3 linked regions of the Drosophila melanogaster genome follow. The protein of the gene in region 2 purifies or fractionates together with the protein of the main gene of each other region. This does not show direct contact. Each region holds a gene or a part of one and is shown on either strand. Other genes may lie near its edges.

The links. Proteins that work in one complex are often made in the same cells at the same time.
Region 1: the proteins of Cen (region 2) and Slmap purify together in Drosophila melanogaster (affinity purification with mass spectrometry, with the first as the bait; one large-scale study listed by BioGRID). This does not show direct contact.
Region 3: the proteins of Cen (region 2) and geminin purify together in Drosophila melanogaster (affinity purification with mass spectrometry, with the first as the bait; one large-scale study listed by BioGRID). This does not show direct contact.

Annotation. Positions count from the first base shown.
Region 1 is NT_033779.5:22,577,557-22,585,111, reverse strand, and holds the start of Slmap (sarcolemma associated protein), read right to left. Parts: upstream 6,041-7,555; 5' UTR 5,860-6,040; intron 5,363-5,859; exon of another isoform or gene 5,292-5,362; 5' UTR 5,272-5,291; coding exon 3,979-5,271; intron 991-3,978; coding exon 430-990; intron 371-429; coding exon 1-370.
Region 2 is NT_033779.5:20,678,421-20,683,702, forward strand, and holds Cen (centrocortin), read right to left. Parts: upstream 3,427-5,282; 5' UTR 3,199-3,426; exon of another isoform or gene 3,114-3,198; 5' UTR 3,073-3,113; coding exon 700-3,072; 3' UTR 501-699; downstream 1-500. Other genes in the region: IKKepsilon (I-kappaB kinase epsilon), read left to right, coding at 1-351; CG2617 (uncharacterized protein), read left to right, coding at 4,029-4,853.
Region 3 is NT_033778.4:6,654,923-6,658,587, forward strand, and holds geminin (geminin), read right to left. Parts: upstream 1,673-3,665; 5' UTR 1,604-1,672; intron 1,533-1,603; 5' UTR 1,308-1,532; coding exon 729-1,307; 3' UTR 541-728; downstream 1-540. Other genes in the region: Opbp (Optix-binding protein), read left to right, coding at 1-188, 250-303; sced (scrambled), read left to right, coding at 2,590-3,665.

The sequences.
Region 1 (7,555 bases), 1.9 Mb from region 2:
TCGGTAATGCATTTGGAATATTAAGATTTTCCTCAACGTCTACAAGCTTTTCCTTACTTTCCGCATTAGGGGCTGACAATTTCGTTGCAGCCGAATCCTCTAAAATTGTATGTGTAGTTGAAGAATGGTTTTTAAAGTGATCCACGATTTCGGATGTATTTCTGCTAACGAACTCTGTTGGAACTGAATCGTTTGCCATATCCTCCTCCTCCTTAACTTTGCATTCAAAGGCTTCATCGTCACCATTAAAAATAGCTTTAAGCACTGAAGATCCTTCTTCTCCCTTGCCAAGATCGGAGTTCTTTAGCAATCTTAAGACGTTCGATTTATAATTGCCTTCTTCTAAATCGGGATTACTTAGTTTTAGCTTCTAGAATTAAATAGGAATATATTAATATATAATAGCATTAAGACTGCTATAAGCATTACCCTTTTTTTCGTTTCAGACAACACATTTTTAGCTGGTGACACAGACAAAATATCATCGTCAGAACTTTCATTATCATCCCTTTCATTTAGCGCTCTATCTTGAGCGTGGTCATAATCGTCAAGATTTATTGTATCTAAGTTTTTTAAGACAATTCGCTCCTTCAAATGTTCAGTATCAGACTCAGATAAATCGCGATGGATTCGCGAGACCTGCAGACGAAGCTCCTTAAGCTCGAGCTCCTGCGTCGTCAGCTTTCCATTTAGCACCTCTAAGCTGCGTGATTCTTGCTCTTTAGCCTCTTGTTCTTGGCGCACTGACTCCTTCTTGAATTCCATGTACTCCTGCTGAAGTTCCTCTAACCGGGTATTGAAATCAGTCAGCGTCTGCTTTAGTGTTAGAACTTGAGCGCGAAGTATGCCGCACTCGTTTTCAGAAGTGGCGTAGGCCATCTCCATCTTAGAGAGCATTTGCATAGCATCGCAGCGTTCCTGGTAGACCTTCCGCAGGGCCTCTTTGGCAGTCAACTGGTACGTTGTTTTGTCCTCAAGAAGCTTTACAATCTATTGAAGACAAAGAGAGAAATATTAAAAAAAAAAAATCAAATTTTACCAAAATATACTTAAAATTTTTTGCAGACAAAATTTTAATATTCAAAGGAGCTACTGACCATTAAGTCGGAAAAAGGTCCTCTTCGAGTTTTTTAAACCCATTTATAAGGGTATATTAATTTCTTTCAAAAAGCTAAAAGGTTGAATTTTCGAGCTATAGAATATTTCCTGTATTCGGTACCTTTTTGTTGTTTTGTCTTATTTCACGCACAAGTTTAAAATCGCATATTCGTATGGTCTCAATTTGCTTGCCTATCTGTATTTTTACCGTTCTGTATGAGTTCTTTGTTTTAGAGCCCTAGAGCACATGTATGTACAGTTTGTCAAGAAACTGTTTACACACTGTAAAATAAGTTGACTTTTTGACTTTAAAGCTAAAAATAAAGGGTTTTTTGCTTAATTAAACGCAATTTTTTTATAAAATATTATTAAACAATATTTATTTTACTTATAAATCAAAAAACAAATTAAAAATATTAAATATACAAGAAAATAAACAACAAATTCCAAGTTTACACACTTTTGAGACTGTCAAGAAACTCTTTACACAAAACACTAAATCGAAGTTTAATCCTAAATTTTTTAATTATTTTATTAAAATTTTAAAAGTTTTGGTATGTAGTATGTTCCCCATTGGCTTTAGCTACAAGTTGAAGCCTTTTTTTCATGGATTGGACAAGTTTTTGCAGGTCATATTCAAACGGGATCTTTTCACACTCTTCGACTATTACAGTCATAAGCTGTTGTTGTGTTTTAGGTCCCTTTTTGCCACCTTCTTCTTTAAGTAGGTCCACAAATTTTCAATGGGGTTCAGATCAGGACTCTGAGGGGGCGTATCGATCACTTTACCACAGTTATTAAGGCGCCAGGTGCGTACATTGCACTCTTTATGTTTCTGATCATGTCTTGGTAAAACTTAAAATTTGGCTTGTTGTTGCTAACCAGACTAATTTTTTCTACACTGGCCTTCAAATTTGTTTTCTAACATTTCTAGATATTGCACGGCATTTATTGTGCTCTCAATTAAGGCTAGTTTTCCCACTCCACGGCTGGTGATACAGCCCCACACCATCAGTGACATTTTTCCAAATTTTATCGTTGGAATGATATTTTGTTTTTCTAGCGCACTCAACGGTTTGCGCCATACTCTGCTTGGCCCGTCGTTATAAAAGAGCATCATTTTTGTTTCGTCACCAAATATGACGTCATCCCAGTACTCTTCCGCATGATCTATCATGCTCACAGCGAATAAATGACGCTTTTCAATATTGGCATCTGACAGCAAAGGGTTTTTCCTTGCAACTCTTGAAGAGTACCTATGGCGTAGGATGACTTGGAGCACAGTTTCGTGTGACACAGCTAGGTGACATTCTTGCCTGATATCCAGAGCAAGTGATCTGACCGAGATTCGGGGGTTCGCAATCACTATTCGCATAATAAAGCGGTCTACACGCTTTTTAATTTTAATTTTCCGCCCACCACCACTCTTAGGTTCAAGCCTGCCCTCTTTTTCCGAGCCTTTTAAAACATTGTAGACGGTCTTACGGGATACAGGAAACATTTATACTAATTCTGGAAAAGATTTTCCCAACTGGTGGTTATAGTTTATTAATTGGGTAACTTTAAAAGTTAATCTCTTTCCAGGCATTTTATTAAATTTAATAATTCGCTTTAAGCACGTTTGATCAGCAAAATTTCACAAGCAAAGTCAACAAAATTTCAATAGAAGCGTTGTAAAAAGCAATGCAAAGCCAAAAATAACGGAAAAATCGAGTTCGTTCTAAGAAAAAGAACAAAACAAAGTAGGAAAACAAAATGTGTAAAGAGTTTCTTGACAGTCTCAAAAGTGTGTAAACTTGGAATTTGTTGTTTATTTTCTTGTATATTTAATATTTTTAATTTGTTTTTTGATTTATAAGTAAAATAAATATTGTTTAATTATATTTTATAAAAAAATTGCGTTTAATTAAGCAAAAAACCCTTTATTTTTAGCTTTAAAGTCAAAAATTCAACTTATTTCACAGTGTGTAAACAGTTTCTTGACAAACTGTATATACATTAGAATATAACTCTTTTAATTCTGTAAATTAGAAAGTGTGGGGTGGGAAACAGCTTTTGGTATCAAATAGGAGTCCCTTATTTTGTACAAAAATAATAGCAATGATCTGTTCGTATCAAATGTGAGGATTGGGTCAGCAAAGCACAATTTGTTTAAGGATTTATTTTTTCTGTTATATAAAAACTGAGAAAAAAAGAGAAAATATACTTTAACCTAAAAATTAGAAACAAATAAAAAGTAACGTTTACAAAATATGTATAACAAATTACTCCACTGGCACCAATCGGTGGCACCAAAATACCATTTGCTCACAATTAAAATACAATACACCTTATACAAATGATTATAATTAATGCGTATTCAAATAATAAAAATGAAGGAATCAATGAATGAATAACAAAATGAAACTCTAAAGCCATTATATACTGCTTTGTTTTAAAGGCACAACCACTAGATATAATTTGATGGGACCGAATTAAATTGCTTAGATTCAGATTTGCTTAATTTTTGTGCATTAAACATTTTGATTATGTTTGTAGTTAAGACAATTCATTATAAGATTTGGTTCAATTTATTTTATCTTGTCCGGTTTGGGAAACAGATTTATTAAAAATTTGCATATTGAAATCTTTAAATTAAAAGGAAAACACAAGTGTGCAAAAATGGTTTTTTAGAGATTCCGTTATACAGGCTAACGGAAAGGTGTGTACGTATTTATGAACAAACTTTTTTAATTGTTCGTGTGAAAGGTTTTTGAGGTTTTGCTTAGTTTCATGCTTAATACCAGTATTCTTGCTTTCATAGTTGTCCAGGATCACAGGATAAAATTGTAAAAAATAAACAAAGGCTTAATTTTTTAATCGGTCGCTAATGGGACTTACCTCGTTTCGCAGTGCATTCTCTGGAATGTTCTTTTCCATCATTTGCAGTTTCTTTTCCAGAATATTTATCTTGTGAAGCAATTGGTCTTCAGTGATCATGCTTTGCCAACACATCGCAGAGTTCTTTCTGGTGTTATCAAGGACGCCTTGCAAGCTGCTTAATTTAGCTTTCAGAGATTTTTCCCTTTGTGCAGCCTCTTGGAGGAACGAGCTTAGGCGCTGCACTTCATCAAAGCTGATTCGGTTAGGCACAGTCAACATCATCTGCTCTGCCTCAACTGAAATGGCCTCTTGTCCATTGGGTAGAAAGAGGGCGACACGGGCCAGGATACACCCGTGTACCTCCTGACGTGAATTCTCAATTACCTCAACGCCGAACTTCACAATATCGCCATAATGTAGTTCCGCTGGATCACTACCCAACTTGTTGTCGTTAATAAAGGTACCGTTGCTGGATTTTGTGTCTTTGACCCAGAATTTACCGTCTGGAGTGTACCACAAAATCGCATGGTTTCTTGACAATACTTTACAGTCAAATATAGCGTTCCCCTCACCCGCCTTACTTTTAGCTATAAGGCGGCCCACCTTGCAATCCTGGTTGGGCTGCAGCAATATAGATCTCGTTTCAAACTTGTGCGACTTTGGTTCACATAGGAGTACGATTTTTGCTGCACCCTTACATGGCGTTGGGGCAGACTCCAATCCTATGTCTAGATCTACGCCAGAAGTTGGGGGCACTGAAGAGACTTGTAAAGTGCCGCATTCCGATGCCACCTCCCTTTGTAAAGCACTATTGTTTAGTACTCCTAGTGGGCTAAACAGACTGCAGGCAGTAGTTACTCGAACTCCAACCCCGGTGTTATTTGCATTCAGCACAGAGTTCATGGCCATATTCATAGCATGCTGGGAAACTTCAGCCGGACGTCGGTCAATACATACTGTGTTGGAATCACAAAGTTCCATATTATTATTTTCCTGGTTCTTCGTGGACGCCTCGTTGTTACTATCAGCCATATCTTCTTTTATGTCCATTATATGAAAGAAATTGTCCTGCTCCAAATTTTTTTCAGTTTCCATGTTTAAAGCGTATTGCGCCTCCTCTGGCTTCACAGCAGGTTCTTCCCCGGATGGATATCTGGTCGTCTGAGGTAATTCCGTGGCCGTGTCGGTTGTGCCAGTTCTGTTTAATGCCGTTGATCCGACTGCTCCTGATGCTGGCGTCGGCGATAATGAACTTGACGTCTGGTCTTCATCAACATTATTTTTTAACCACTCATTGCACACCAAGACCATTACTTTACATCCAAACAAACCTTTGGGGATACGAGAACAAAAGCGGATTAACAAGTTAGTAATTAGTAATACACGAGTGGCTGCTGTTTGACAAATCCGACTAGCCGAAACATTGACAATGAATCCAAATTTTAAAGGCCTGCTTTAATTTAATGTAACTATAAAATTTGTCTTTTCCCGATGAAAATTTGAAAAGGTTTCCGACCACATAAGATATACACACATATGTAAATGCATACATACATACATACATACATACAGAATGAATTTGCATTTGATACAAAAATATGTACGTTCAATAGCAATGTTTTCAAGAATTATTGTAAACAAAAAACTATGCCATTAGTTGGTCATTCTTATGAATTAAGCAATTTTCGAGTTAAGGATGTGCCGATTAATTACGACAACTTAAACCAGGCATTAAAAATGTTTGGAACGGTTGGAAATTGTTTACTTTTTTGATTTAAAAATAAATTATATGGTACGGGGAGGACCGCTTAAGTTCAAGAACATTAAATTCGCAATAATATAAATGTTTGATATTGCGCAACGTTTTTACCTTTATTTTACAATGCACGCTTGGCTTACCTTGGAATTTTGTAATTTTCCTGTATTAATTGTTGCAACCTTCTACCCGTGTTTTTTAGTTTTCTTTAACTTTGAACAATTGTTGTACAAAAACACCTGGTTTCGCGGTAAATTTGTGTGCATACTTAAAATATTTCCGTCAAAATAGCGACAATCAACTGGTGATGAACACGGAACGATGAAAAAAGCGCTAAGCATTATTGTATATAATAATATACAATATACCAGTTTATATACCATATACCAGTTTCTATGTTGACATGCAACGATAGAACCATTCCATTCTGCAATTTCATTTCCAATAAATACAAACAATAATTTTCTAAAATTTTTATAAGAAATAAGATTTAAGAATTTTAAAATGTTTTAGAGCAATGTCGTATGCTAGAAAGGTTAAGAGTATGTTTGTAGTCGGCATACAAATGTTCTGCAATTACATTTCCAATAAAAAGAAACAAATAATTTTCTAAAATTGTTATAATAAGAAAGGAGATTTCGGAATTTTAAAATGTTTTAGAGCAATGTCGTATGCTAGAAAGGTTAAGGGTATGTTTGTAGTCGGCATAAAAATGTGTTTCCGAACCTTAAAGTATAGTGTACTCCTGATCATAAACACTATTCGATCAGGTCCGGTCTGTCTGACTGAAGGCTGTGATCTCGCAAACTACAAAATAGAGCTGGAAGAAACATCGGAGATAGCGCTACATAGATATTTAAAAAAAAATCGGAAACATCGAAATTTTCGGACATCGATGTTAGATTTTTCTGTTTTACCCATCACCATTTGCAGGGAAAGATCTTGCTAAGCTAATCGGCTAATGGCAAGACAGACAAATGTATTAAGTGGGGCAAGACACCAAACAAGTGCGAATAATACTAACTTGTCTTGCCACGTAATGAGGATACATATTAATTTAACAGTCAGTGAATTGCCACAAAGGCAACAGCAGTCAATTCTGTCATTTATTGACAAAATAATGAAACGTTGACGAATCGAAAACAAGTGCTCTACGCTACTACATTGGCTCAGACTTGCGCGGATTCGGATTTCGACGAAACAACTTATTTTTCTGAAAACATTGCAAACTTAATCCGCACAGTAATTGATGAACGCCCATATAGTTTGAAACAATAGAAATAGGTTATAGAAAATAAAATATATATGTATAGAAAATCCAGTTGGAATGGCGCGTTTTACCTGCTGAAACGATTTTTGATTACAAAGGTTGCTATCGCAACTGTTCTACTGAACCAAAGTCTCTAGAATAATAAAGAATTATTGTAGTGTCTTTGACTGAACACTCTCAAAGGGTTGGTTATTGCCGTAAATATCGAATAAAATATTCATTTTCGAGGATTTGAAGGCAATACTTTAACCTTTAGAGCATGCAACGGTTAAAGTTTACAAATTGTTCAAAATTGTGGGCGTGACCGGGTTGACGGCTTTTGGTCGTTAGAGTAGGCGTGTAAAAAGTTTTTGGCATATCGATATAAATTTTAGCGACTAATAGAATTATGAAAAAAATATCGAAAAAAGGTTTAAAAATGTGTGTTTTGCGCGGCATTTTTGGGAGGTTTTAGGGCGTTAGAGTGGGGCTGGCAGGTTTGTGTGCGTGGCAACATGGGTCAACCAACTTGCGCTGCGTCTTTTTCTGTGTTCTAGCTTTTTAAAATTCCTGGGATCTCGACGTTCATA
Region 2 (5,282 bases):
AACGTAAATCCGACAGTGGCACAAATCGCAGAGTGCCTGGCGGACTGGTATAAGTTGGCTCAGACCGTCTACCTTAAAACTCAAATTTTGGAGAAGGACGTGCGCGATTGCGAAAGAAAGTTGAACGGAATACGCGATGAGTTGTATCACGTTAAGTCGGAGCTGAAGCTGGATGTGGACACAAAGACCATAAACAACAATAATCAGCTGGCCAAGATAGAGGAGCGGAATCGGCTAAGGGTCATGCAGCAGCAGCAACAGGAAGTTATGGCTGTCATGAGAACGAACAGCGATATAATAAGTTTGCTTAGCAAACTGGGCATTACCAACGGAAGTCTGGAAAGTAGTTAGACGGGCATATCATGAAAGTGCAAGAATATTTTATTTGCCTTTACTTTGTAAGTTAACAATAAATGTTTACTTTTTTATATCTGAATTTGTAAAGCAACTACATATATTCCTATTGAAACTTGGCTGAATATCGTGAAAGAGTAAGATTTCTGTAGGTCATTAAATTATTTATTTTATCATGCTGAAATAAAATTAAATTTCCGATTATAGTTATTTAGTTATTGTTATTTAACTGTCTATACATGAAAAAGCGGACTAGACTGCATGGCACACACAATTTAAAAATGGTAGAATGCCCTATGGCTAGAATGCACTGTTTAATTGCTTATTTACATTCTCTAAACAAGTTTACTTTTGACGAAACTGATGATGATGACTCTTGCGAATGTTGGCTCCGTTGTGTTGCTGTCGCTGGGAATGTGATCTTGTGGGTCCATGTTCGCCGGCATCGGCCCGGCGCAAAACTTCGGCGTAGGATAAGTCTAACTTTTTAAGTTTATGTAAGTCTTGCGATACCGTGTTATGATAAAACTCGACGCCATTGAGCTCTATTACTCGGCCCCGAGAAGTTTGGGGAGTATTCATATTCTTGTTATAGATCACCATGGGAGAGCCATTCCAGTTGCTTGAGGATGGAGTTGTCCGTCTGCGGTTACTGCGTCCGAATTCAGCATTCAATGTATCCGTACACATCTTTGAGCTCCCTTGTCCACCACCACGGTTGTTCATGGCCAGAGGACTGTTCCTGGGAGTAAATTCCCGGGAGTTAAACAATTCGATGCGATCTCCAGATGAGCTTTGGTTTCGGTGCTTTCGTCGGTTCTTCTTCTTGATTCCGACACCTACGGTTAGATATTCGAGTGGTTCGCGCTTGAGTGGAGTAAGTATCTGGCCATTCTCCCTTATGGGTTTATAATTCGGTTCGCCGACAGTTGTTTCCTTCGAGGAGCTGTTTAACAAAGTGGATTGCGTTAGGGACGATTGGTTTTGTTGGTTTCGGACATCAAAGATGTGTTTTTTGGCTGTCTTCCGCTCCAGTTTGGTAACGCACTCGGACATTGCAATGGACTGGTTGGATATAACTGAGGATACGACGCTCTGTGTGTCGTCAATGAAGTCATCTGGAGATTCCTCCCTCTCGGGTGTTACCGGGGGTACTTTGGCCGCCACCAAGGGTAATTTTTCTGTAATCTGTGCGTCGTCATGCAGGGACGGAAGCTTGTCTTCTTCGTTATTATCAGCTGCCTTCTTGAGCACTCCAAATATCTCCTTGAAGAGTTCCCTGTACTCCGGGCGATTACGGAAATGAGATTCAATGGGGCTGACGTCGTCATAAATACTGAATTTACAATCGTTTCCATTACTTATTGAGCAAAGGAAGTAACTCGGTCGCTCGTCAGTTTGCGTAGACTTGTTGCTAGTTTCATCCGAGAATCCCGACGATGTAGTTTCTGATTCCGAAAACTCGGTTGGAGTGCGCTTACGTGTTGAATCCAACATAAGGTCAGATTCCTTTGAGCTGTTAACAATTGTTTCTGATTTTTTGCCTTGACTGGACTCGGTCATGGTCTTCCCATCTGGATTGCTGGTGAAGTTGCTCTTGACCGCATTCGAGGTTCTCTTCACCTCCACCAGAGCTTCATATTTCTCGACTAGGTCCCGATAAGGATTTGGTTTGTCGCTAGAGTTGGGATTGAGGTCCTCGGGAATCCGGAAGCGTTCCTTATAATCCGCACCACTATTATCGCATTTCGAGGTGCTTTCGCTTAGTATGCTGCGATCGTCATCTTCGTAGATTTCTTCGGTTGGGGCAATGGAGGATTGATCATCCATATTGGTGTTGCTTTCGTTAATATCCCTCAGGCAGCGACTACACATTTGGCCTTGTCTCACGTCGTCCAGGAGGCTGAACTCCTCGTGCATCGACATTGTTCCCTCATTGGCACTGTTCTCCAGCAGACGTGTCTGCAGACCTTGGTTGTCTTGGATTATGGTCACCAACTGCTCCTCCAGCTCGGTGCACCGCTGCTGTTCGGCCAAGAAGTCACGTTTTAACACCTCCATTTCGCTGAGCAGCTTTACCAATTCCTCGTTGTCTTCACCCTTAACGGCGGTCCTCTCGCACATGGTGGCATTACTGAAGGAGATATCCTCCAATCCTGTCGAGTTCGCTATGGCCATAACATCTAGTTTGGAGAACTCAACACTCTGCTCCTTGCACAGCGATTGAATGCTGTGACTGGACACAGAACCCTCGGTCGAATGCTGCATCCTATAGCGTTCCTGCTGGTACTGATCCACCTTCCGCCGCTCGGTGCTCAGGGATTGCCGAGCATCGCTCAGAAGTTGACTCAGTTCCTCGCAGCGGGCTTCCAGGACTTCCGTGTTGGTGGTCAGCGTCTTAATCTGCTTCTTGTCCCGATTCTTCTCCAGATTTAGCCGCTGATTGGCACGCTCCAGATCCTGAATGCCCACTTCCAGCTGCTCGTAGACCTTAAGCCGTGAATCATTCACCTCGGTCATCGCATTAATGTGCTTGCGCAGATGCAAGATCTCCAGTTCCTGCTCATCCCCCTTAATCTTGTACTCCTTGATGAAGGTTTCCAGCTCCTTATTGCGTTCCAGGAGCGTTTTTCCCAGCTCTGCTGCCAATTGTAGGTCATCGAGCATGAACTGCGATACGTTTTCACAGCCAGCCGAACCGTGATTGGATTCCTCCATCTTGGACTTGGACCTTTCTAAGCTTGGGCTTGATGCGAACTCTGGCGAAAATTTAAAGATTTAATCGATTTTAGTTCATTTAGCAGCAGAGCTTTGTGAGCAAAGCAAAACTCAAACAGTAATTACTTGGCAAATGTCCTCTCAATGGTGGAAAACTGCTACAACAGTAACTTTTTTACTGTTTCATCCCCAAAAACAAAAAGTATGGTATTGCAGCGAGTGCAGAAAAAGCCCTACGTACTAGGGCGCAACTGCATGTACGAATAGTTAATTAATGCTTTTTATTATACACAATCGACCTGCAGACAAAGAACCGAAATGAACTTCCTAGCAGAACCGGAAATAAATTTATAATAGGATTATTCGCATTAGGGGGATTCCTGCTCAGATAGGGCTATGATTTAAGCTCGCCTTTCTTATATAACCCCTCGCGAGTTGTTTGGGGAAACCTTGTTGGATTCTGAAATACCAGCAAAATGCACGGATGTATAATTATATTTTTGAGCTTTCATTGTCTTTGAAAGAAGCATGCAATATCATAATAGATCAGTACATGAATACCCATATTAATTATTACGCATATTTATAGTTGTCAAAATTAATAAATCCAAATTGTTATGTCTCCTTAGTAATTCCTTTGCTCACAGAAGCAAAATATTTGTTTGAACATTATTAATTTAAGTTACCCTAGAATTTGGCGTATTTAAAGTTCAGATACCATCTAAGTTTAAATATATCTAGGAAGTGCAACCGATAATGTGTGGGGTGTTAAAAATAAATATATATATTAATTATACAAATATTTAAGATAAGTAATTATTTGACGCTACCTTATCGCAACGATAGCTTGGCTTTAATTACCAACCACCGCCTGGTCACACTAAGCGGCCGGCGTTCTTGTTTTGATTTTGTGTTTCTTCCTTTTCTTAATTCGAGGACAGTATGAGCCCCCCGCCATGCTGGACGCTCTAATTCGGGCAGCGGAGCTTGTGGATCTGGTCCTGCTGCGTCCGCTGGCCAGCGTGATTGATGCAGTGATTACTGGCGTGTACTACTTCCTGTGGGGCAGCTACCTCGTCGGCTTCTGTTTGGTGGAGGGCAGCAGGAAAGGATGGAATCTGTTGAGATGCGCGGTCAGGAATATCAACGAGGGCATCCGCGACTTGGGCCTCATCACGCTAGATGTGGCGGACTACTTCTACGGCGGCACCAAAGGCGGGCTCAAGAATGTACTCGATTTTGGTCACTGCATATCCCGATTCATCTGCAACTTACTCATCGATCTGGGTGATGGCATCTTGTGGCTGCTGATGCTGCTGCCGAGGGCCATACTATTCCTCTGGGACTGCCTCCTAGACTTTGTGGTGCACTCAATCGTGGCCCATGGCTTGAGCTTGCTGAACAGTGCGTTCCGGGCCTCGATAGGATTGGCCCTGCTCCTCGTTCTCTATATGTTCCGCCGCTATGTGTACCTGATGCTCATCTACCTGCTGCAACGTGGACGCATTGAAATCTCGACGAAGACGCAAAGCGTTTACCTATGGACCCATCATAAATTGCAACACTTCATACACAATGTTTGGTATGTGTCAGAGAACGCAGGATCCGCGAGTCCAGAACGCTGTGTCGTGTGCATGGCTCAAAGCAGGAACGTAGTAGTCATGCCATGCCGGCACCTCTGCCTCTGCAAAGAGTGCTCCCTGCAGCTCGTGCTCCTTTTAGAAGACCGCTGTCCTGTCTGCAGGCACAACATTACGTCGTTCCTGTCAGTTTACGTTTGATATATAAGACTGCCAATTGGAATTTAACTTATAAGTAATTATGATTCTCAGAAGTTAACCAAATGTCTTTGGTTAAGACACTTGTAATAGAAAAAACAAATAATCTTTACAAAGCAGAACAGACAAAACATTTTAATGCAGCTTTCAATTCCCAGACACCTAAAATATCAAGTAAAACAAGTTAAATTGTTTTATGTATTTATTTCAAACCAATGAAAATATACGATTTGTTTTGTATACATTTATGTAAATACGGTTTGGTTTTGCGTATAACTAATTTGCTCAAAAGACAGATATAGAAAAAACGTTTGTTTTGGGCTTACATCGTTTAAGTATATATAATTAAAGATTAAATCGAAATGAAATGATTCGCTTTGCTTGTTATCGTATTGCAGAGTTAATTGAATTGCAAGTTATAGTTCTTCCATC
Region 3 (3,665 bases), on a different chromosome or scaffold from region 2:
CTCACGGTTTGGTGGAGGAGCAGGAGAATCCCGCCACCTCAACTGATGCTGCACACGTCGCTGAGACCGATGATTCCGAGACTGCGGTGTTGATAGCGGCAGCCGAGGCAGATGCCGCTTACATAAACGCTGTGGTAAACGATGTAGACATCGTGGGCACCGTACCCACCTACGAAGAGTGCGTTGTGGTGAGTTACTAGTTCTTTGTATCTCTTCCCAAACTTACCTTTTTCTCTTCCTTTATTGCAGTTTGACGTGGATAACTTCCACAGCGAGGAAGTTATTACAGATTGGCTTAAGTAGCAGTTCACAGTTTTACATCCAATAAATATTTGTCTCAAAAATATGTTGTACCTTGAGTATTTTATTTTTGCGTTAGCTCCCCACACATTGAAATCCATCCGCATTGATGTAAGCTAATAAACACATTTGTTTTGATGTAGAATTAATGAAAGGAAAAGAGCATATCTAAACTAGCATATGGATGCGAAATGGTTTATATAAGTTGCACATAAAATACAGGAATACGAATTAAATATTGTGTGCAATTGTGCAAATGTAAAACTTTATTAGGATTATAACTGGCGTGTAACAAGTAAATATATTGCTGGCGTACAATTAGACCAGCCGTTGTGTTGGCTGACGACGAACAGGGATATAAACGCGATATTTAACTACAACTAAATGTAAAACCTTAGACTAAAAAAAACGTGTGATTGGTGTGTAGCCTAGGCGTTGACCTTGTCCTCGTCACCCGTAGTGTCGTCCTCCTCCACCTCGCTGTTGTCCTCTTCGCAGATCTCCTTCAGGACCTCCACCAAATTCTTGGCCTCGTCCAGTTCCTGGCGCATAGTGTCCATCTCCTCCTCAAGCCCCTCGATGCGCTCGTGCAGATGGCGGTTTTCGGTGAGCGAGTCCTCCAGCGCCAGTCGCCGCTGCTCGGCCAGCAGCTTGTAGTAGTTCTCGCCGGGTTCGGCTGTGCTAGTGAGATCCTCTGCCGTGATGGGCTTGTCAGCATTGCCAAGCGGAACGGCCTCAGCATCAGTCTGGGTATCCGCATCCTTTGTGGAAATCGCGGGCGCCGTGTCCACGCATTTGCGCTTGCCGTACTTGGGCGCGACTTGGACGCCGGCCTTCAGACGACTCAGCTGATCCACGATGGAGGCGCGCCCTGAACCAGTGAGGTTCTCCTTATCGTTTACGTTGCCCTGCAAGGGTTTCAGGGTCTGTCTCTGCTGCTTCAGGTGCTCCTTCTGCTCGGCCTCTGTCTCGACTTGGATGTAGACCCTGGCAGCGCTCGAAGACATCTTCGGAGATGTGTATTGTGCTTTCGGTGGGTTTGGTTGTCAGGCGGCAGAGCGTGTGCTACTTGCTTGTCTGTTGTTTATGCATTAATTTGTGCGCAACGCTTCACAGTTTTCCATTCGTTGTAATGGCCGCCAAAAAATGCCGATGCCGCGCGCTGTTGTCCAACACTGTTTGCTCAAGGGGCTGCATCACATGCAATTTCATCCCTCGATTTCGTGTCACGACTATCGCAAAAAGTTACCAAATTATTTTAGGAATGTAAAATTAAGATATCCCTTAAAATATAATTACAAACCTACAAAAATAATGTGAAAAATAACAAATCCTACGACTGCTATGTAGTAGAGTACTTCAAAATATTACCAATCATTCATATTAAATAATTATGTTAATAAAATATTAAATAAAAGCTTGCTGTATTCTTGCTGGTGGATGCTTATCAAAAAAGTATAGTATTAAAATTTCTGTATAAAGCAAAACTAAAAACAAAAAATGCAGCTTACTTTTTGGAAACAGTTTTCTAGCGATGTTTTTAAATTGAAAGAAAACCATACCTACCCTGTGTTTTAAACGACAAAAACAGTTAGACAGATACCTAATTTTAAAGTTAAATTTTTACTTCTTTTGCAAATCATAATTCATACTCAGCCAAGTAGAAGTCAAATATACCCCAATGTCGGATGTAGAATTTTAAATACTAAAAGGAAATGCCTAACATTTTTGAAAACATCATTAGCGTTTTTTAATAATAAATATTAAAATAGCTATAAAGCGAAGTATAAATAGGATTTTAGTTTTTATTTGTTTGGTTTTAGACCTGGTTATGGATCTTGAAAATAATTTAAAAGATTGTGTAAATTAGTTAAGAGATTATAAATAAGAATTGCTTGGATACTACCTTCTTATTAAGCTAGTACTCAAGATGTCCAAATAACATGTAAGCATTTAGCATTTAAAAGTATAAATAAAGAACTTAAAAGAGCTGTGTAGCTTAGGCTGAGCACCTTAAGTTTGATTGATGTATATTGAAGTTATAAATTCATTTGTTGGTCTTCTAGAAACGCGATTTCTGTGATATTCCGCCAGGTGGCAACGCCAGTCACGTCACGAGGACACGAAGGATAAACGTGCGATAAGAGAATAGCCGATAAGAGCTCCACCCAGTCGCAAAAAAGATGTAATTCTCGAAGTAGCGGATATAGATCGTTTACTTTTTTATTTTTCACTCGCAACTCATTCACCGCACCTCCATCCGCCCCACCACGTAGCAGTAGCCCCAAGATGGACCACAACGAAATCTCCATGACTATGGACGCCAAGCTGGATACACACGATAAGCGACCAGTGGCGCTGCGTTACAAGACATGGACCCGCTGCCAAGTGAAAATAGAGGCCATTAAGTGTGTGCCCTGCTTCCTGCGGCTCAGTTTCCAGGCCATGGAGACCGAGTCTCACTCCCAAGAGTGTCACCCCGCTAAACCCATTAGCGTCTCCGTAAACGTTCCGGGCGTCAGCTTGAGCCTGGCTACCTCGCGCACGAAGCAGCACTCGTACGGGCTGTTTTGGACGCAAAATCGGCGGGACTGCTTCATCTATTTCGCCCTGGAAACGGAGACATCCTGCCGACGTCACATGAAATGGATGCGGAAGTCGATTAAGAATCTGGAACTTTATCGCCAGGTCTTTCTAGAACAGCGCCGGCTGAGCAGGGGTCCCGGAGGTCTGGGCCCACTGCCTAACCTGCCGGAAACCCTCGACGCTAGCGCTCTCTCTCCGCGAGTCTCGCAAATATACGAGGAGATTTTTGACGGCAGCCGCATCTCCCGCGTCTCAATCGCATCCGGCATTTACGAAGAGATGAAGCCGTCAGTCATGGAGACTCCTTCACCGCCACCGCTGCCCGCACATCCTTACCGTCAGCGAATAAACACTTTTGAGTGCGCCCAGCTTGGCGAGATTGCGCGGTCCAGCACCAATCCCGAATCGGAGCTGGCCAAGAAGAAGAAATACAAGAACATGCTGGACAACCTGTTCGGGAGTTCACGTCAAAAGCGTTCCGGCAGCACCAGCGAGGTGGCCAATGAACCCAGCGATGAGGTCCTGCCACTGTATGAGAATGCCCCCACGCCGGAGCCTGTGCTTCCGGTAAAGCGCACATCCCAGTTGAACAAGTCTCAGCGTAATAGCTTCTCAAGTCCGGACTTGTCCAAACTCAATCTGCTGGACACCTTTGGAGAATACTTCGAGGCCCAGAACCATGAGTCGAGCATGGAGATAAACATTAGTCTGGATGAGTCGGTCATTGAGCCGATCTCTCGCAATGAGATTATTGCGCAAATATCTAGCCAATTGGGCAA